Lepisosteus oculatus: one gene and its partner. Each later gene encodes a partner of the first gene's protein in a complex. Links are inferred from orthologs where the notes say so. Each region holds a gene or a part of one and is shown on either strand. Other genes may lie near its edges.

The links.
Region 2: the proteins of klb (region 1) and fgf19 are in contact, whole or in part, in a crystal structure (PDB 6NFJ), measured with the Homo sapiens proteins. The link is inferred for Lepisosteus oculatus from reciprocal best matches to the Homo sapiens genes KLB and FGF19. Residues at the interface, in NP_783864.1 of Homo sapiens: Phe379, Lys380, Val392, Leu394, Trp419, Phe420, Thr421, Asp422, Val425, Thr431, Tyr434, Met435, Asn438, Tyr643, Glu693, Arg696, His743, Asn824, Phe826, Met832, Gln848, Phe849, Leu850, Gln851, Ile853, Leu862, Phe931, Phe942; in NP_005108.1 of Homo sapiens: Leu192, Thr194, Asp195, Ser196, Met197, Pro199, Phe200, Leu202, Val203, Thr204, Ser211, Pro212, Ser213.

Annotation. Positions count from the first base shown.
Region 1 is NC_090696.1:68,395,967-68,407,713, reverse strand, and holds the start of klb (beta-klotho), read left to right. Parts: upstream 1-7,251; 5' UTR 7,252-7,459; coding exon 7,460-8,188; intron 8,189-9,736; coding exon 9,737-10,250; intron 10,251-10,575; coding exon 10,576-10,844; intron 10,845-11,747. Other genes in the region: rfc1 (replication factor C subunit 1), read right to left, coding at 1,948-2,014, 3,513-3,632, 4,692-4,694.
Region 2 is NC_090716.1:5,539,038-5,550,020, reverse strand, and holds fgf19 (fibroblast growth factor 19), read left to right. Parts: upstream 1-5,607; 5' UTR 5,608-5,683; coding exon 5,684-5,909; intron 5,910-6,688; coding exon 6,689-6,792; intron 6,793-8,448; coding exon 8,449-8,772; 3' UTR 8,773-10,012; downstream 10,013-10,983. UniProt on the Homo sapiens protein: Involved in the suppression of bile acid biosynthesis through down-regulation of CYP7A1 expression, following positive regulation of the JNK and ERK1/2 cascades. Stimulates glucose uptake in adipocytes. Activity requires the presence of KLB and FGFR4.

The DNA of each region.
Region 1 (11,747 bases):
AAGAGCAGAACAGGGCAACACATAAAACACACTGCCAACTGAGCAAACACTCAAAAGGCAGGATAAAGATCTTCATGTACACCATTCCCAATTTTCATACTACTGGTCCGGGCACACTCTGACTTACAAGTTGTAGAAAATGCACTTCGGGTAAATGGCACAACTCAGTGGGAAACAAAAATAACAATTTCCTCCTCCTATTCCGATTTTTGTGAGAGAGGTCACAGTTGTCCTACAAGCTAGTAAGTCCTCCTTTGCTCCCACTGCTCAAACTGTGGCACACTTGCAATTCCTGCACAAGATGACACACAGCAGTCATGACAACAACACCCACTCCTGCTGTCACAGGTTTAGGCTTCTCTCAGTGTCACTGCTGCGTGTGATACATATGTGACTGAGATGGGAGTAAAATGGGACTTACTGACTGCATTTCGAACACTAGTCCTATGCCCCTGTCCGGACCTAGCTGCTGTGTTCTTTATCTATTTCTAACCTCACCAATGAGTCCCTTAACTCTTGTCGTGTACCAGCAGATGCAAGCTCTCCTGCTCTGACATCTGTGTCAAACAGAATCAGGCCTAGACCTTCAAGAACATCACTACCACAATATTCTCAATTTGCCTTTACATGCAAAAAGTATGTATGAGGCAGGGTCAGCTCGACTGCATCTATTAAGCTCTATGAAGGTTTTTAGTCACGTTTCTAGTTTAGATAAAGATACAGAGCTGAAGCAGCCCTTCCAAAGGTTGTGAATTATTTTCTGGCAGTTTCGGTCTCCAGATAGATCACTTACTAAGCTCGCCCTAGAGCTGAATCCCATGGAATATTACGTAGGGATCACCAGTACTTCCTTACTGGCATACTCACATATTTTTAACATTATTATTTAATTCATCGCAATGCTACAATTTGCAGTGCAAGTTAAGTTAGGAAGTGGCTAAATAACATAGTCCTACATTTCAATACCTTCTACATGCAAAATATATATTACAAGAAAAATCATTTTATGTCTATTTTTTCCATAAATACAGATTATGTTTTAGTATATTACGAGCAGGTATCAGATGAATGAATGAGTGCCTTGTTGTGGTGTAATCTATGCATAAACCCTCAGTATTTAGTACTTGTTTGCAGCGATCAGCAGCAGTTGTTCTTAGCAGAAAAACAGGATAAGCACACTGCATTTAAGATCTTTTGGCCCTTGATAAATAATTAATATTTTCTTAACATAACTTACTCATGAATAATGGCACATTGTGATGTGCAATCCTGAATAATGCGTAAAAATGAAAATGCAGCTGTCTTTTTTATCTGCAACAATATTGAGAAATGTCAGCGATAGAGAAAGCATCTCTCTTTTGCTTCAGTTTCAACTGCAAAAGTGAGCACTGTTTCGAACCATTCTCTCAACACTCACTGAATTGAATTACCAATGCCTCTACGTGACACTTGTTTATATCATTCATACAAAACTCGTCAACAGAGAAGGTGCTTATCAAGCCATTTACTTTTAGTGCTTCTAAAATCCAGGGATTTCACCCCAAGGACCATCTCTCTAGAGCTTCAGGCTATATGTAAGGGGGCCACGTTATTGCCTACTATTATGCTGGCCAGGCAACAGAACAACACAGCTTGTCAACCCATTTGTACTCATATTTGAAAGTCATGAAGACTACGATGGTGGAAGAAAGTGATAAAAAAAGCAATTTTGCCCAGGAAACATTATGATCTTTTGCTTCCAATCTGACACCCACTCAGAGGGCGTTCATCAGCTTTTCCAAGAAACAATAAGTATCAGCACGCTGGCCTGAAGGCCTAAACTCCAGCTGACCCACATCACAGAAATTCAATTCTGCCATTAATAGAGGAAATGTGCGAGACCAGAGTGTGGGCCATCATCAGAGCCATCCGTCTGCCATGTCAGGAGGGGACTTCAAGCGGACACACCTGAGTTGATGATGTTACGTTTCCTTCGCTTTACCGATGACTTATCATCACTTTTGGGACTCTTCCCCTGAAACACACAACACAGATGCAGATGAGGAAACAGATAAGGTTCTCAATGCACTGCAGTCTGACCCATTTCTGGTTGATGAACTGCATGATCATCAAGAATCCCAACATCCACAGATGCTGAGATGTTCAGGTTTATTAATTTAATTTACCTTATACAGTACATTTGTACACCCAGTACTGCAATACTACTAATGAAACACACTGCTTTCTGGCTTTAGTAGTGACCTACAGCTGTTGAAACCTGTCAAACTGTTTTGTAACAGAAGTGATGCGTTCCCTTAAAGATGAGGTCCATCCCAATGGATGGGGACAATTTCCCTTTAAAATGAACACTGTCAATTTTCACCTGAGATCAATGAAAGGATCTATAGGAACTGCTAAAAAACAAAACAAAAACATCTTTGAGACAACCATGCAGATTTCGGAACCTGTCACTTTCTATACAGGCTAGAATGGTGACCCCTGGTTTGTAAGCTTGCTCAAGTAGTTTCTCAACGCTGATTTGCACCATTCAGTGCCTGTTATTGTGTTTTAACACGTATTTCGTGCTGAAAGGGGAACTGCACTCCCAATTTCTCATACTGGTTATTAGATCTCAGTAACAAAATAAATGCATTGACTTTATAAAAAGATTTACAAATTCCAAATTAAGCATACAATTGTGAACTTTCTAGAAAGCACTAAGTCTCAATGTTGTCACAAACTCGCATTCGAGTTCCCACTAATTGAGACGTGATGTTGCCCTTCCTGCTCACTAGTCACTATAATGACTAATGTAGTGCGATGTATGAGCAAATAAGTACAGGTTGTACCGCAGCTATTTCACCTCAGAAATGTTCCAATGTCATCTGCGTGCAGAGCTAACAAATAAGTAGCATTTGTCAGCAAAACCGTCACAAAATCGAGAGCAATATTTCTACTGGATTAAAATTGGATTCAAAAGCCTGTTTGTTTACAATGTAAAAAGCTGCATCACGTCACCGGAAGTTTTGTTGTCTCATTCTGAATCGCAGGACTCAGCGCCGTGGATACTTGGAAATTTCATCTATATTGTGGTGTAACAAAATTTTTGCAAACTACTTTTACTGTGGTTGGAAATGCACTCACCCAAGTGATTCTTTTGAACCACGGAACTATAAAAACAGTGTTGAAGTTCCCCTTTAAGGACTTGCCAACACCAAGATGTTATTGTTGTCCACATTACAATCTGGACTAGACGGGACCCAGACTAGAACGCAGCTGGGACCCACCCTCCAAGCCCAATTTCCCTACCCCAGATTTGCTGTTTGATTTATGTGGGGTAAATGCCAAACACCCCCCAACAGAATCATGATTCAGAACCGGGCCTGGCTGCAGCGACCTGTGGGCGAGTCCAGAGCTCTTTCATTGAATCCAGGCCTGCGTGCCATGCCTTGCGGACATACACGAAGACCTCTGGGACACGCTGGCCCAGACAGGTGACCGCTCTCTCTATCAGTTTCCTGTCAAGCACTGACCTTGGATCCAGACTTTTTCACCTTCACATCACCCTCAGCTTTGGAGGACCTGTTCTTTGTCAGCCTCTCCTTCTCCCCAGCTTGGTTTTGCAACTGAGACTGGAAATACTTTCTTATGTCCTGCAAACGATACACACGGCCACGCAAGGTTAGCACTCCGAACCAAAATAACGTGTCAGTTGGTCCCCCGTCATGAGAGCTGGACTTTCCAACCTGGCTGAATGCGAGAGTGGGACAATGTTGGTTTTTTTTAAAAAAAAGATCTGTACACGATAGGGAAATTTGTATTTGATCTGTTTTACATTAGGAAATACTCAACAAGTTCTCTCAATACAAATGCTTTATGAGCATCCTGTAATGAGGTGAGAAACAGCCACGGGATTCATGTGGATGCAGCTACTGTAAGGTTGAACCCAAAAGGATCTGCATATGTGAAAACTAGGGATGTCCAACACGGGTCCCGGAAGGCTACAGTCTTCTACACAACCCCCAATTACTTAACTGTTACAATCAGCCCCTGCAGTTCACTCGTCTTTGACATGTGGACAGGAAGAACATATGTGCACATCTGCAATTTCCCCTCCCGCGTACCCAGAGCTTTGGTAATTGACTCTCCCGTATCTCTCAGTTTTCCAGCTAAGGGGTTTTGAAACGTGCAGCATTTAACAGAATTGATTTTGAAAGCAATTATTGAATTATAAATTCGTCACAGCTGTGATAACTCTACCGAATCAAAACATCGTTCCAGTCAAACGACAGATCGCAGATCTGCAGCGCACGATATTTTTAGTAAGCGCAATGTACATTCTAAATCGAAATGTACTTTGCGAATCCGTATGCGTTCAGAAAAACAGTATTACATTGAGCACGTTTCTCGAACGTCTTAATGCGATTAGTCTCTGTTTCTGCAAGCGCACACCTCTTTTAGTGCATGAGAACTACGCATTCATGTTAAGTGCCAACTCTAAGAAAAAATGTGTGTGTTAGATGCTTGCAAAAATAAGGCATTTTTGCAAAAGGTGTGAATAAAGTACTACCCCACCACTTTAATTTAAATCTCGGTTTAAGCCAGAGCTACTTCCAAGTCAAACGTACTTCTCTGTAAGCGAAATGGCACATTTCGAAACTTGCAGCTGTAACAGTGCTTGCAAAGCCACGAACGCCGCAAGTTATACTCACCATCGTATATTATATACGATTTCTTGAATGTTTAAAGCCAGTGTGCACCTCCAGTGCTCTTCCAGCTTGGCGCCAAGTGCATTCCTCCCAGGTCGCTGAGAAATGACGCAAGCCGCGGCCGCTGTCAGCGCGAGGCGGGCCGAGGGTGCCTGCGCAGTGCGGCCCTGAAGCTGCGGAGGAGCGCGCCGCAGACGGACAGGTGCAGCGCGCGTGCTGGACATGCACCCTATTGCCATGTGCACAACAGCGTTTGTGTTATTGTAGTTTTAGACATGGCCAATGGTCTTTTCAGTTCTCCTGATATTAGTATATAGCTGTCAATATACTGCAACATTTTTGGCGTGCCAGTATTGAATGCCCTTTGACCTATGTTCATCCAGCTGCGGTGCATTTTTTTAAGTTCCTTTCCATGTACTATGCCGATCTGGTATCATTTTCAAACTTGATTAGTTCATTTAAATGATTTAGGAAGAACAGACACCTATATCTCCCGAAATGTAGCTTTTGCTGCACAGCTCATCTGTGCTCTCAATTTTCTATTAACCAATGCTGTATCCAATTTCACGCTTAATACCATCATGTTGTAGGAGACTCTAATTTTGCAAACTCGACTAGTTTTCCATAATAGTTAGAGGTGTTTGGAGGAGCAGTAATCATTATACAAATCCCAGTGGGCATATAATTAATAATTAATAAATTAACAAATAACACCAATTTGAGTATTCACCCCTTATCAGTACCCAGTTTTCTGTCTATTAGCCAGCTCACAATCCAGGTACACACAGTTCATTGAATGTCTGACACCTGCAATTTGAGTATTAATCTGGCAGGAGGAAATTCATCAAAAGCCCTCCAAAAATCTAAATATACCAAACAGTGTGCTGACATATCCATTAGTGTTGTTGCTTGTTCAAAGAACTCTAACAAGTTGTACCTTTCCGCTAGAATCTATTTTGATCATATCCTGTTTAGGTCTCTAATTATATTCTCCCAGTCCTGGCCAAATTTCCCCCTGGCCTTTACCAGTCATGGCCTCCTAATAATCCCCATTAATAAACTGTGTTCATCGCTCTGTTCTCCTCCCCACTGAGAACTGGTGTGTGGGGAGCGTACTGGTGCACTGTGGCTGCTGTCGCATCATCCAGCTGGGGCTCCTTATTGGTGGTAGTGGAGGGGAGTCTCCATTACCTGTAATACACTTTGAGTGGAGTTTCTAGAAAAGTGTACATATAAGTGTAAGGAATAATTATTGGCAGTAATAGTACTTTCAGAATGGTACACAGTGGAAATATTTTTATATAGTTTTACATATATACTGTACATCACACATTTTAGTATTATAAAATAGTAGTTTTATTGTCTGTAGTCTGTAATTGTTTACACAGAGTTTTAATTTGAATTTTTAAATTGTCATATTTCATTATCTGCTCTTGCCAGCATAAACAGCAAATGAAACTTCAATTAAAGAAATAACTGATGGCAAAACACTGAAATCAAATGTGAGCTCTAATTAGGAGGGTCTGGACACTGTCAATGAGTTTAAATGAGTCCTGTTTCATCTGAAATTTACGATGCCCTCTCCTGCAAGTCACATTTAATCTATCTTCTGGAAGAAGAAAGAGCCAGACGAGATTTTTTTCCAAATATCCCTTTAATTCTTTTCACATAGCCCTGAAAGGGCGATGAAAGAAAAATGATCAAATATCCCCTAGGCTTAGACAAAGTCTGAATTCACACAGTATGGCCCATGAAATTAGTACAGAACATTTAAATATATTCCCAGGAGAAATACTGTATTTGTAGCTCATCACTCGAAAAATAAATTGTATCTGTTTCTAATCTGAGTGAGAGATTGATTCAGTGTCCCTGAAAAATCTGTAAAGAGTTAAAAAAACAATTGACAACAAATAATCAGTTTTTGAATGTTTTGGTACAATGTGAGAAGAAGGCAAAATATTTACAATTGACTTATTATGTATATATGGTAAAATTACCACCTACCAATATATTGTATTATATCCACATCCACATTGGATAAAGCAATGTGGTCTTAGCAAAACAATATTGCTTTTGTAGGACAATGTAATATCTGTTCATAGCTGATGAGGTAAATGATTGGCTTGTCACGTGGTTTAAACATTTATGTTAAACCAGTCATTTGACATTACCCAAAAGATGACATCCTCTGTGCAAGAAGTATTTGCACAGAAAAGAAGGTGAGACCCTTCCAGTGGTGGTCCAAGCTTGCTGCTCTTCCACTCCAAATTGTTTTTTTAAATCCTGTCATTTTCACTGGCTGCTTCTTGCCAGTCTCCAGTGAACGCCGATATTTGCTCAACACCTGCAGTGAAGGGGGTCTCTCAGATGGCATGCAGTCTCTGTGCACCGTGTGTGCACATACAGTGCTCTGCCTGCTCAGCCTGTGTGTCTTTATTCCGTTGTGCTGCAAGTGTGTGTGTGTCTGAGCAGTCTCCCAGGGCAGAGCGTGCTAGGAGCCGCCGAGCTGCCTTCCCGGAGCACACTTCTCCCTCCTAACTCATCCTTGGGATCACAGTTCAGGCTAATCATTGACAGAGGTCCAACTTGCAACAGAAGATTGTTGTGTTTTTTTTTCCCACTGGCACGATAAGGCAGTCCAGCAGCTCAGGTCTTCAGATGGCCCCAGCTCAGCTTGGCTGAGCTCTCGTGTGCTTTCCCTGTCCTCTGCTCCAGCCGTCATGCTCGTCTCCCTCGGTTTGGGCTGGATCTGAGTCCCAGGGGAGCACAGGATGGGTCCCCTTGCTTTAAAAAGCCTGTTTGTGCTGCTCCTGTGTAGCCGGGGGGCCGTGGTCTGCCTGCCAGGAGATGGACGAGCCGTGTGGAGAGCGCAGTCCAGCTCAACCCCCGTGGACGCCAGCCAGCTGTTCCTGCACGGCACGTTCCCCCAGGACTTCCTCTGGGGAGCCGGGAGCGCCGCTTTTCCGAGCGAGGGAGCCTGGGACCAGGACGGCAAGGGCCCCTCCATTTGGGATCACTTCACTCGCTCCCAGCAGGCTCCGGGGTCTGGCACCTCCAGCGACAGCTACAGGCTGTGGGAGCAGGACGTGGAGCTGCTGAAGCACCTAGGGGTGCGGACCTACAGTTTCTCCATTTCGTGGCCCCGGCTGTTCCCCAACGGGACCGGCGGGGCCCCCAACCTGCCGGGGGTGGAGCACTACAATCTGCTGATTGACCGGCTGAAGCAGGAGGGCATCGAGCCCGTGGTCACCCTCTACCACTGGGACCTGCCCCTGGCACTCCAGCAGCGCCACAGCGGGTGGCACAGCGACGCCCTGGTGGATGACTTCGAGAGCTATGCCGCCTTCTGCTTCCAGAGCTTCGGGGATCGCGTCAAGTACTGGGTGACAATGCACAACCCCTACGCGGTGGCCTGGCACGGCTATGGGACAGGCGTGCATGCCCCCGGAGAGAGAGGGAACCTCACAGCTGTCTTTGCTGTGGCTCACAATCTAATCAAGGTGAGGTAGCGCGGCTGATAAGACGTAATGGGTTTTTTTTTTCCGTGCCTGATCTATCTGCAGCCTGGCATCATTCATTCAAGGACCCAGTCGCTCTCACACAAAGCCTGACTTTGTTTCTCAAGTGAAGCTGCTGCGGTTGCCTTTTTGTTATGTGCACTGCATAGTCTGCTCTACGGGTCAGTCATAATGATTATTTATTTAAGGCTCAGTGGAGAATGGGGAAGGGAATGCACAGACAGCATAGCATACACTTCTCCAGCGCCTATGATTTATTTATCATGATAGTCAGGACTTTGGTCTTTTGGTTCAGACACCGAGAGGTAATGAAATCCATAGGGGAGGATTCTGAAGAGTTCAGTTCTTTTCCATTTGTTTTTAGAATTGTTCTTTAAACCTCAATTCCCCTGTTTCCTGCATTTTGCAGCAACAGCCCAACTTCATCTTGTATAATAGTGATAGCTTGACAAACACAGATCACTGTAGTTTTTAAAGCTCGTGCTAAAACAAAACTCATTTAAAACTTGCCGCGTGTCTGAATGAAACAACATCAGCCCACACTGCTGGCTTCATTTTCTCACCCTGACAAAGACAGAATTAGGAGTCTCAGAATAATCCTAAAAACTAATTTCCTGTATTTTATATATAAATATAACCTGCAAGGAATAACCTGCTGTTGTCATGTGCCTCAAAAACATGGTTATATTAAACATTGTTCAGATTTTCCAAAGCAGCCTGTTTAGAGTTTGAGTACCTATCAAAATCTTTACTTAATACATAACCAGCAACAATTACTTCCAATTCTTTCAACTGCCATTTTGCAGTGACTCTTTTACTGCTTTCTCGTGTTGTACTATGCCCACACCAGAAAAGGCACACCACTTAAATGACACGTAAGTGAAGAAATGAGATTTAAAAACAGGAATTAAAGTCCGGGAATTATGACAGTCTTAAATTACTTGAGATATATAATAGATTTCGAGTAAGAAAAATATATCATTTTTGGGCACGATGAAAAGATACTGATGAATGACAATTCTGATTTCACAGGGGGGAAAATGAAAAGCGCTGATATGATACTATATTTCTGTAAGAGTTGACTCGTGATTACAAACCCAGGCTCTGACAGGTTTCCGTTACGCAGGAAGCAGCCTCTAGCAAAATAAAAAGCTGCCATCTAGCGTTAGTTTTGAAAACTGCGATGACAGGGTAGGTCATGATTGACAGCACGGGGACCCCTTGCTGAGCCCCGAGTTTCTGGAAAAGTCAGGTGTACAGCAGAGGGCTTGAAAGGTTTTTCTAGTAGCCTTTTATTAGAACATTTTCTGTTAAAGAATCTCACCTGTGACCCTGTGTTGTGTAATGAAATTCCACTTGAGTGGATCGCTAATGCTTCTGAATAATAAATAATTTCTATTTGTGATGACCCTCAAATTGAACAAAAATGTGTTCTTTTTCCTTAAAAGGCTATTTAAAAAAAAACTCAATCCTTGACGATTGAAACACTGATGCTTCTTCTTGCTCTTTTGATTGCCTGTTTCGTCTTAGGCCCATGCAAAAGCGTGGCACACGTACGACAGGAGATTTCGAAAACTCCAGCACGGACAGGTGTCCATAGCTCTGGGATCTCACTGGATAGAGCCGGAGGGAGGGAAAGCCAGCCCATTCAACGTGGAAAAATGCCAGGAGTCTATGGAGGCTGTTCTGGGCTGGTTTGCAGAGCCCATATACGGACAAGGGGACTACCCGACCCTCCTGAAAAACAGCACACATGGCCTCCTCCCTGCCTTCACTGCAGAAGAGAAGGACAACATTAAGGGGACTGCAGACTTCTTCGCTTTTTCGTTTGGGCCCAACAGCCTAAGGCTAGTACACAGTTCAGTGAGGTTTGGCCAACACGTGTCACTGAGCCTGAGACAGGTGCTGAACTGGATTAAACTTCAATACAACAATCCCAGAATTCTCATTCTGGAGAATGGGTGGTTCTCAGACACCAGCGTGACTACGGAAGACACTGTGGCCATCTACGTGATGAAAAAGTTCATAAACCAAGTTCTGCAGGGTGAGTATTAGGTGTAGGGTCCTGCTGGGTGCTGCTGTTCATGACTTGGTCGGTAATATCGTTTCCACAATTCATTTTTTGTGTAAGTTTCAGAACCATAATCTGTGTGAAGGATTGTGTTGCTGTTTCAACTCTTCCAGAAACTGATAGAGTATTTTAGGAAAGCACAGGTATTTAATAAAAGTTAGACTTATTATAACTGCATTATTGTCAGATGTACAGGTACTTGATGTGCACTTCACTTTATCAGGGAGAGGTGAGCCTTTAACAACCTTACAGAGAAGAACGCCAAGCTTCATGTTTCGGCTTTGTCTTTATCTTTCAGCAATGCTACACGATGGTGTGCAAGTCCTGGGTTATACCTTGTGGTCTCTGGTGGATGGTTTTGAGTGGAATTACGGCTATTCAGTCAGGAGAGGGCTGTTCTACGTGGACCCCAACAGCAAAGACAAAGCAAGAATCCCCAAGACATCAGCTGCTTTCTACAAACAGGTCATCAAAGACGGGGGCTTCCCTGGAAGGGAGGGGGACGAGGCTGTCCAGGGCCAGTTCCCCTGCGACTTTCACTGGGGCGTCTCCGACTCCGTACTGCAGGCAAGTGAAAAGGGCAGGAGGAGACAATGTGCACTTCTCTGGGAATAATCAGGGGGTAACTTGTAATAAAGCAAAGGTCCTAGTGCTCCCGCCTTACGGCTCAAGCATTGCAAGATATGCCAGCAACCCACTTTGCACCGAGTACGCACTGGGTCTGACACAGCATCATTGCCGTCTTCATGCACTTGTGCGGCGATGCAAGATACAGTAGATCTCATGATACAGTGCAGCACGCTTCACCAAAAAGAAAACCATGACGTCGATGCTACCAGATACTTCCATAAGTGTGTCATGGAGAGCAAATTCTGATGTATGATCTTCACATCGCCAAGTAACAGCGCCTGCAAATCAAGTGTTTTGGATATTTGCATTTCTGTGTGCTGTATAGTGTTCTCCCCAAAATGATGAACTGCTACTGGATTAGGCCAAGCACCCACATAAAACAAGTACTTGTCTTAGGAACTTGTACTTGGACAGTGTAAGACTGTCTGGAAACAGTTATATTAACAATTTGCAGCAATGTACATGTGTGTGTGTGTCATTTTTTTATCGCATTTACCAAATATTGTGCTGTATTGCCCTGCGTCTGTAAATATTGAAAAGGTGGGGACACTGATATTTAGGTTCAGGGTTAACCGTGAAAGTTTAAACCCAATTTTTAAAATGTTGACAGTTAGGCTTTTCTGTGGTGTAAGAGTGATGACCGGATCTCCGTTCGCTTTCGCCTGCTTGAGTCACATACAATGGACAATCAGTTATCAGCAGATAACTCCTCTATGCTAGACCAGCATCTCACCTACAGCTGGAGAACTCTACACTGTCTAGATTTCATGGGACTCTTTCAGTGCACTGAGCCTTGTTACGTACGATAGAAACTAAAATCTTCAGGGCATGGGTGAAGTC
Region 2 (10,983 bases), on another chromosome or scaffold:
CCTTTGTTAAAAGTATACTGCAGGTCAGTGTTCTTCTCTTTCTAGGAAATCTAGCAAATGTACCTTGCCTTGTGTGTGACTTGGGGAGGGGGTCTAAGTCCTTTTTTATTACCTTCGCCACACAGCGCATTTTCCTCTTTATAACTACATCACCTTTACTAAATGGTAAACACCACCAATGCCAAATAAAATACACAGATTATTAAAGTTAGACTTTGCTTTCTCATTTTTCTAGTTTGATTTCACCATCCTACATGTGTGCTTAAAACACCCCAGATAAAAAAGCACTCCAGATTGCAACACCTGTGGAAGTTTATTTTGGCAAGGGAAATCTTTTGGAAGCAAATGAAATTGGTCATTCCGCAAAGGGGGTAACAAGATCACAGTTTGAACAGATTCTTCACCGGAAAATGTATACTACACAGACTTCGGTAATTTTGTAAGTTATTAATTCATGTGCAATGAAGCAAACAAATTAAAAAGAACTATGGCTTGCATCATACTCATAACATTGCAGGGAAAAGTATCAACAATCCTCTGATTAAGTAATATTTGAAATTTTAAGCTTAATATTTTTCAAGATTTATAGGACATAATATTGATGTCTGTATATTCTTATCACACCAACCCTCCTGTATTCACAAATGTCAAAAATATATCATTGACAAGCATAATTTGATATAAATCACATGCACAAAAAGCAAAATAACATCTACTTGTTCCTTAGTTTAATAACGAACTAAATGAATTAGTAAAAACGAAGTATGTCAATACTATTGTCAGTGCCCATAAAGTCCAAAGAAAACTGTGTATATTGGAATAGCAGTATATCCCCCTACTGTAAAGCTTTCCTAGGAAAATAGTGATGAATAGAGCTTTTATTATGTTTCAAAAGGCAACTTCATCATCAGTGCTAGTAGCACAATGTCCAATATGAGATGGCTATCTGTTCAGGAATGCATGATATTAATGAGACAAAATTAGGACTGAGAATTAAACAGCATTTTTCTCTTACCCTATTCCTGTCGAACATTTCAACTTTTTAAAACACAGAAACTGATAGGGGGAGGAGCTGAATATCTTCCTGATTATTTCATAATTAAGCTGCTCCTATCCAGAAACTGTCACCCTTACCTTACACAGGCAAATGAGCTGTAAGAGTGTATTACATAAGCTTCCCTCCCACTAATAAGGCAAGAACAATGTTGAGTATACAATAAATCTATACAAAGTGAAATTTCACAGAGAAGGCATAACAGACCAGCTCTAAAGGGTGGCTGAATGCAGCCATTACACATGTTGCAGTAGGAGGAATAGGGTCACTTGTTAAGAATGCTTCTGGGCTCTCAACCCTTACAAAAGAACAAAATTATACATTATTGTGAGATCAAGATGACCACAATATTGTTACCACAGAGGTCAATATGAAATCAGTTGAACCACTTCCTAGAAGATTTTGGACAAACTGGAGAACACAAAGAGTCATTCATGGCAATGTGAGATCACTGTGGCAAATTTTAAAATACTGACTCAGTGACAATCTTTTAAAACTATTTTATTCAGTAATGCACAAAGATATGAAACATTTATTACAGTGGGTCATTATTACAAAATGTCCTGTGATTAAACTTCATTTACACCAGAAGTTAAGGGAAATTAGACTTCATACCTGACATCAAAGTATTCAGTAACACAGGCAACTCTACAAAGGGTTCCTTGATATCAGCTGGCCAATAATCACTTTCCTCATTTTACAGGAGTTGTATAACTCGTGTGTATGCTTAAATCAAACAAGTCATAGAAATGTATACAGGCAACTCATCCCAATTCTGCAAACCATCAGAATTAAGCACAAATCCCCATTTCTTTTATATCCAATTTCAAACTTGCTGCAAATGGGAAAAAATAGTACTTGCTGTTCTGGATACAGAAACAAATGTAATGCCTGCCTAAACACAAATGTCTAGTGTTATCTGCACCTATGACACCTGCAGTACAAGCAAACGTGAACCTACTGCACTCAAATCTATTCAGGGTCTCTGTGTGTAACATAGGACCTTTGCATTATTTTACAGTTTTGTTAAGACCTCCAAAATGTGCAGCATTTTTTGTGTTTTCTAGAAAACAGTTCATGCAGCATAAAGATGTGCTGATAAGAAGCACATTTGCCCTTTCTGTACAGAGGTCATCTTTATAATCCAAAAGCAATTGCCCACCCACCACGTGCTGGGGTACTACTTATTTCTTTAAATAAAGATCTCTTCCAAGAGGATAATGGATTTAATGATCAGCATAATACCAGCGGCCATTGGTTTTCAATCCTCGTCCTGTGGGACCCCTCGTCTCTGCTGCTTTTAGTTACAACTGGACCCTTAATCACTGGTGCTAATTGGTGCCTGTAACTGATCTGCACACTTGTTTCCTTGATCTAGACTTAAGCCTTGGTTTCAAAATTATATTTCCAATAACTTCGGCACATAGAACCTCATGCAGTCTCTTCAACTTGGCTATTAAGAATTTGCTTATTTATTTTAGACTAAACCGTTCTTAATAGACGGCCAAAGGCTATACGCCGATGAACAGAAAGGTGGGAATCGTGCTGTATCAGACGCTCCCACAGAGAGAGAATGTTGTTCCTTCCATTCAAGTCCAACTGGTCACATTTAATCCAAAATGCCTGATTTAGGGCAGCTCGGAAACTCAGTAATAAGGACATTATACCCATCACAAAACCAATGGAACTAAAAGCCAATACAAAAATAGGCTAATGTCACTTTTTTGTCACTATGTTGCTTTAAGCAAACAGGTGATTCAAAAACAGTGCACCAGAGTCTCCCTGACCAGGTCTGAGAGCCAATGCTACAGGCTGGGCCTAGCCTTTACTTGCCATTAACATCAAAGAATAACAGGCCTCAGCCCTCAAAGGGTGTGTATACTTCATAACTGAATAGGCATGGATCCACTCACTGGCAACCCGCCATATTTTAAACCTTTTACATATCTTGAGCAATCTTCTTGATACTAAAAGAAAAGACCCAGGATGAAAAAAAAGCACATTCCAAACAATCACAAATTGCCTAACTAATAGTGGCTTTTGCATTTGCTTCAGGCTGATAACTCCCGAGTGGGCCTGTGGTATTGTGGGTGGCAGTTCAAGCGAGGTTTGTTCTGGATCCCAGCCTTTAATTTAGATATTAATTACACGTCCATTGGAGATCTCAATCTTTATTTGTATGTTGCACAGGATGCCTTCTTAACACTGAGATTTAAACAAATGTGAAAAAACTAAGACGGCCTTAGTAAAACGTGTGATTTTTTTTTTGTTTTTACAAGAAACACAGCAACAGTAAATAACATGCCCGCAGTGCGTGGGAAAGAATTTGGAGTCCCCGGTCCAGGAGGCTATTTTTCGGGTGACGACAATGAAGAGCAACTGCTGATTCATTTTGGAGTTCATTTGTAAAATGCTTCTTCGACATTAAAATATGAATGGCTAGAAAAGCAAGTTCATTTTACTTTGCGAGGGGGCTGGAGAGAATCAAATGAAAAATGTCACCACCACCACCAACAAAAAAAACCTCATTGTATTTCATGACCTTAAAACACTTATTTGCCATTTACCTCTTGCGACTATGGTAACAGAGTTGAAATGTCCGTCAGCGAATGTCAGTCAGTGTTGGTTTTCTGTTCCCATGGGTACCTTTTAAAAGACTGATATTTAAAATGCTTTATCTAATTGGAATCCTTGTGGGTGTATTGTCTTCTGTGTGCATTTGATGTCTGACCAGTGTTACAAGCCTTCAACATTTTTTCTGCCTTGTCAGGTTAGTTTATTTCCATTAGTGGACGACTGATTGCTACAGAGACCTTTCTTGACCCCATACGAGAGCCTTACCACAAACAACCACATAACGGGTCTTAGGCAGCAAACTAGGGGGAATGGAAAATAATCAACTACCTAACGCATATTGTCTAGTTGCTTTGTATTGTAATAATATTTATTAAGTGAATTAATTACTATGCAGATAAGACATATTGAACCACACCTGTAACGGATTTATAATGATCTAAGATGTATATGGGCAGCAATCTTCAATGAAGAGTGATGTCAACAAAACATGAATGTTACACAATCCTACCTGTAGCATGACCTTGATCAGTTATTTCTCGTCTTATTAGCATACAAGTTGTGACAAAAACATTATCATAAGTACATTCATCTACATATCCCGTAGATCTTCAAATTCAAGAAAGGCAATAAATTAAAAATTTATTATGAGAAATACAAAAAAATCAACGTGCTGCATATTTATATTTATTCCTTACACTTACAGTGTTATGCAATTTGTTTTTTGTTCAATGCATGATTCATATTTCTAGCATGTCATGTACGCTTAATATGGTATGTGTTTAAGACCGTACTGTATGTTCTGTGCGAACATCCGTCAATGTACTAAACTACGCCTGCATTTCAGTTGTCAAGTTTAAGGGGGTCAAATCGGGTCTAGAAGAAAACGTAAGCTTTTGAATTTAATGCACTCCGCAAGTAGCTAGTAAAGTTCTTTAATCTTTCGTGTTGCCCGCTGTAAAAGGTTTATGCATTGGAAAAAAAAAAGTTTCCTCGTGAAATTTAGGTCTTTCCTATACATTTCCAACTATTTTTTGGCGAACAGTGCCATCTGGTGACACGAATTCCTCCGAGTATTTCCTCCTAGGAAACCACATTAACGACAATATATCATTTGCCACCTCGTTAATTTCAGCAGCTACACAGGCTGCTTATCATTACGTTATGAGACTATACTTGATACAATGTGGTGAAGATGGATTCGATGTGACAAACTAGCTGAATGCTTTGATGTTGCAAACTCAATTTGTAGTAACGGTCACCCCGCTATATTGTATTTTTTAAGATGGCAATTGTAACAGTCTCTTTAGTCTTGAGATCAAAATCTTCATGTTCTTTTAGTAAATTTATCTGACTGATTTGGATGAATGGTGAGAGCATAACTATTGAACTTGTTAATATAATTATCAAATGTTGGGTGTAACAATTCATACAATTGCTCAGCAAGAGTTTGGCGCGGCTTTTAATTCATAAGAAAGTTTATCCAGTTAGATCACCCGCTTAAGCAAAGGCTATATTCTGAACTACGTAAATCATTCAAATCACATTTTTTTTTCTATAATAAAACCAAAACGTAGATTGTGCAATATCAAAACGTCAAGAGAACCTCTGGTTATCTTTTTACATACTACCTTTTCATTTTCTTCCACAAGATACTGCAAATAAGATTTAATCAACCACACGCGATATTTATGCAAACCAAGTCATACCAATATGAATAAAATTAAAATCAGCCATTTCGCAATCAGGAATCTAAAAATCGCGAAGTATTATCTTGTACACTACTCTTAATAGTTCTTTTTTTAGCCTACGATATACGTCTTAAACCTTTAATACACTTGGTTTCCGTAGAATGATTGTTTTGCCGTTTAAATAACGGCGCTAGAATAAGCTTATCGATTGGACTGATAAGGAGTACCTTTAAAAAGGCAGGATATCTGGCTCGTCTCTATATACTACATCTCAGCCTGAGGGGACGACGGATCACTTATTTGACCTCTAAAGACCGCGTCGGTTTGGCTTGGCTTCGTTTTACATTCCAAGGAAACCTTCAGTATGTTGCACAGTGTCTGCATCGCCGTTTCCTTGACAAACCTTTTATTTTTTGTTATAGGACACGGTTTACCTCTGCCCGATTCGGGCCCACACTATATTAACGGATGGGGAGATCCCGTGAGACTCAGACATTTGTACACCGCTAGTAGATACGGGCCGCTCAGTTATCATTTGCAAATAAACGAGGACGGACGAGTGGACGGGACCATTTCTCAAAACTCAAAGAGTAAGTAGATATTTTTTGGGAACCGTGCTCAAGTTTTCGGCCGTATGTAGTAGTGGTAGCCGAGTTACTCGAGGTGTACAACTGATATTAGATCAAAGGTGCACAAGAAAACCTTGCAATTATAAGACCGTTTTCTAATGCGTGTATTTGAATGGTCAACGGCAACATTTCGGATGTGCAGTACTCGTACGCCCGTCTAAAAGTCATACATAACTAACCATATATATACACAGTATATATATACACACACACTTTAAAATTGCCTGTTTGAACCGAGTTATTTCATTTTTACCTCGGACCAGATGCCAAAAATGCAACACGTACGCTTTTCTTAATGTCGGAATTTAGTCGACCCTGACAGGGAATTTGTCATTTAAGCCCCAAGGGGGGCGGGGTAAATATCTTGTAAAAATTCAGCTCTTTCGGCTTAGAGGTGACAAAGTGGGGAAATAAGAGAATTGGGAGATGTTTAAATCAACAGTAGCGCGTAACACCTGAGCTCAACCACAATGATTTATGGTCATGCAGGGTTGCATACTACTGGCGCGTGAAGGAATGCGTACAGTATGTATTTTTAGATTAAAATACGAAGGTATATTAGGTTAAAGGGATACCTGATTACTAAAATGCATCATGCCGTTTTCATTGTAGAAGAATGCTTTGAATGAGTCAGGTCTTTAAAGTTTCCAGTTTACGTGGATCCTAAACAAACTGCAGTTTGCATAATAATTAAGAAACGCAGAAAACGGAAACTAAATGCACCTTTTCTTTTGTTCTAGGTCTAGTAGAAATACGAGCTGTTGATACGGGATTTGTGGTGATTAAAGGAGTTACGTCCTCAAGGTATCTCTGCATGGAAGACAGTGGGAAACTGTACGGATCGGTAAGTTACTTGGATTTACCAAAATGCAATTATCACATACTTTAAAGCCATATAGAAGCGATTTTGCACAACTAGAGAATAAGCCAGGTTTTAAACTTTTTAAAAGATAATACATGTAAATGTTCTATTTCCATAGCCTTATCTACATACATTTAAACTTAAATCATTTTGAATATCATGTATACTGATACACAGTTGAAGATGCTTTGTCGATAGATTAGCCATTTTGGAAAAACGCCAACCTTTATCATTCGAGTCATCTTGCATTAAGAATGACAGCTCCTTGTAAGGCGATTTTACTCGCATTTGACGTTTGCTTCTCGCTTCACATTTGAATAATAAAGTCATATTAAAGCTCTTTGGAAAGAGCTTCTTCAGTTAAAAATTAAAATATTTCTATGTATTGGCACGAATAGAAAAGTAAATTATGTAGGAAATTAGGTTTTATCTCAATGCTAGACCAGTTTGACCATTTCACCTGTTGACCAAAAGTTTGTTCCTCTCCCAGCTGAAGCCAAAAATAACAGGTTATTGTCTCTGAAAACAGATTTTACGTAAATAATCTTAAGAATGTGCAATAAACAGTACCTAAAACACAATCCAATTATAAGCCATCTTAGTGCACTTAAAGGAGTCATTCCCAATATTTCTAACAGGAAACTGAAGGAACTTCTTTTGTACTGGAATGTACATTTTTTTTAAGTGCATGGAGCACTGCATTCTTCCACTTATGCACAAATTCTTTATAGCTTAAATATACCTACCTCATTGTTTAAATGATCTTTCTGAAAATGGATTGGTTAACAGTTGTATACAATTATTCGGCTTTGTTCACACAAATAACCCCTGAAGTCCATTCCAGTATATGGAATGCTGTAAGTATGCTGGCATACTCTACATTAATTCAGGTGGGGAGCTGCGTCATGCGTAGGCTGCAAAAGGAAGAAGTAATAGGTTTATTCCATGCTGAAAAGCGAAGTAAGAAGACAACGTTTCGGCTGTGGAGCCTTCTGCTCACACCCGAAGAAGGCTCCACAGCTAAAATGTTGTGTTTTCTTTCTTCTCTTTTCAGCATGGAATAAACCTGTTACTTGATACTCTACATTCCATGCGTATGACATTTAAAATATCCTTATCTCGGATATTCAGTATTTCCACAAACCTTCAAACAAGGGCAAATTTTAACAGAACGCCGGTTATTGATACTATACATTGTATGAAATTTGAGTGTGTGCTAAATTAAGGGGATGGCTGGAAAAAAAGCAATTTGCCCTCTGTAGCTGAATAACCTTTGACCAACTGTGGGACATGCAAAGGTTTTACTTCACAAACAAAAGAAACCGCAATAGTAACCCTGGTAAATGAGTGCCTTTTTAGGCTTTGAAATATTCTTATGGGGGGGAACTCAGGTAAAATGTGAGCAGCTCTCTCAAACCCAAAGCTTAATTTTCTGCATTTCAATTACTGATAAGCACAAAACAGAACTTTATGGGTTACTTTAGCCAGTATTTGAATTTGCATTACATCGGATAGGTCTGGGCTCAAATAGGCCGATTGCATGAAGAACATTTATGTAATATTGAGCGAGTCTTAAACAATGATTCATAATATTCATCTTGTACATTTTTACTCTCATATCTTTGTTTCTCTCAAAAGCACACGTACTTAAAAGAGGATTGTTCCTTCATTGAACGCGTCCTCCCAGATGGATATAACATATACATTTCTGAAAAGCACAAGACCGTGGTGAGCTTAAGCAGTGCCAAGCAAAGACTCCAAGCAGAAGATGGAGGATTTCCTCCCTTGTCTCAGTTCCTACCAATGGTTAGTACCATTCCTACAGAGCCAGTGGGCATTGACATGGAAGGCTTTGGGGAGTCCACTGGTCTTGAGCAAGGATTAACTGAAACGGACAGCATGAACCCTTTTGGGAGTGCATCGACAATCTACATGCAGAGTCCCAGTTTCCATAAACGCTAAACATCTTTTGTGACCAGGAAAACCAGAAAAAGAGGCACGATTGAATTCCAGAATATGCTTCTGGAGGAAAATGGACTGACCTTCAGCTAAAGACTATTTGCTATTTGCTTGCCATTTTTAAAGACTAAGATAAATGACTTGTTTACAAAGGCAAAAATCCTGCAGTGATCTTGAAGACATGCATTTAGAAGATACTTTGCCACAAGAGGGAACCGAGAACTGTTTTCCAGAACAATATGCATGTCTGCGCTTTGAGCGCTTACTGTGCCACTCCTTATTTCCAGGGACTTAGATGAACATAAAATGGTGTTATTCTAAGGAAAAGCAGCAAGGCAACTGGTATTGAGCACTTATTTGTGCTTTTTTTAATTTAACTTATTTAAAATTTCAGTGTTTGTTGTATTTATGAACAAAAGATACACTTCCAGTGCACCGATGTCTACTACAATATAGAGAACATACATTTTGCATTTTTATAATTTTTTAAAATTGTTTTGTATGCATGTGGAAACTATTACATTTCTATTTTTACAGAAGGGTCACTGATCTGGAGAAACGCCAAAGCTAATTATAACCCTAACCATTAAAAGTTCATTGAACAACCATAAGAAAGGACTCAAAATGAGTCCATTGAATACATCTAGTTTGGCTTGTAGAAGTTAATTGATAAGGATCTCATCCAGCCATTTATTGAAAAAAGCCAGGGACAATTTCTTGAACATGGGTGGGTATCTAAAAGTTTACTACAAACCGTGTAAAAAAGGTGCTTCCTGTTCTCCATTTTAAATGCACTTCTATCATTTCCTCTGAGCCAAAAAAGAAGCCGTGAAGTTATTTGATCACTACATAATTCATTTGTCTTTTACATTAAAATGCTTTTGGATTAACTTTCTTTGTAAAGTAGTCTTACACAAAAGTGTAAGATTCTTGCAGCTTTAACTATTTAAACTTTTCTGTTTTTATCAGTTTTAGCTCCAAGACAGTTCTGCTCAGAAACCATTAAAGTTTGAATAAGATTTATAGGAGAATAAGTAGAGGATTTTCTGAAAGGATCACATCAACTGAATCAAGGTACTAAGATACAGAGCTCTGAATTAATTTGTTAACTTATTGTTTTACTTTTTAGCAATTACCGTGTAATCTGCTATGCGACTTGAAAGGAGATGATCAAAATGATCAGCTGTGGTTAATTCAATATTCTCTGTACTATAAATGCATGGTATCTTGAAATAAAAAACACTTTTTTACGTGTCAGCTATGCCCTTAAGTTTTTTTCTGCTGCTACTAGACGTTTGTTTTTAGAAATAACAATATAGTTACAAATACTCCAACAGGCTGCTTCTGTCTTAGGTTACAGGAACAGCTAACAAGCGTAAACCGATACCAGAGCATTTGCCAAAGGACACTTTGTTCCTCATAGTTCCTATAGGATTAATGACGGTCTGTTTTCTTAGTATCGGCTTTCATCGGTAAAATCCCATTCCCCCCCAAGTCAACTCACATCACGTTTATAGACTGGCCCATTAAATATAATGTTTGTGCATGGAGATTTTTGTAATCCGTCATGTATGTTCTGCAACAAAATCCCTCTCCCTTGGTAATTCGTTTTGTGCTACAGTACATATAACCTTCATTGAAAATCCAATGGCGCCCTCTCACGACATAAGAGAAAACCGCACGACAATTCCTGACATAAGGCCAGTGAAAGTGAACAAACTCACTTGATCAAACTGGAGGTTTGGCTTTGCGGTAGTAAAAATAAATCTTGCTATATAAAATAGATTTGGATATTCATTAGAATACTGTCTTGCTTTTTAAATGATTGACACAATCCCTTTTGGGGTTCATGCTGTTGAAGCGCACAAGCTGAGGATTTTTGCAACGTCTAATTGAAGAAGGAATGAATGGAAATGCCCCCCCCCCAAAAAAATCAAACAGCCGACATGAATTTTCAGTAAAGTAATACTTCACAACCTCGCTTTAGTCTGCTTTCTACCCATATGCTCCTTTCGAAAGGAGAGGGTCAAGCGGCACCCTGAGCTGGGGTGAGAACGACTCCCTCGCACAGTTCTTGGGTCCCCGGTTCAATTCCGTTCACGAACACCTTCTGCATGGAGTTCATGTGTCCCTTCGCCCCCAGAGACGCAGGTTCTCTCCAGGAGCACCGCTTCCCTGCCGATGTCCAGGTTAATTGGCGTATCTAAATTGTCC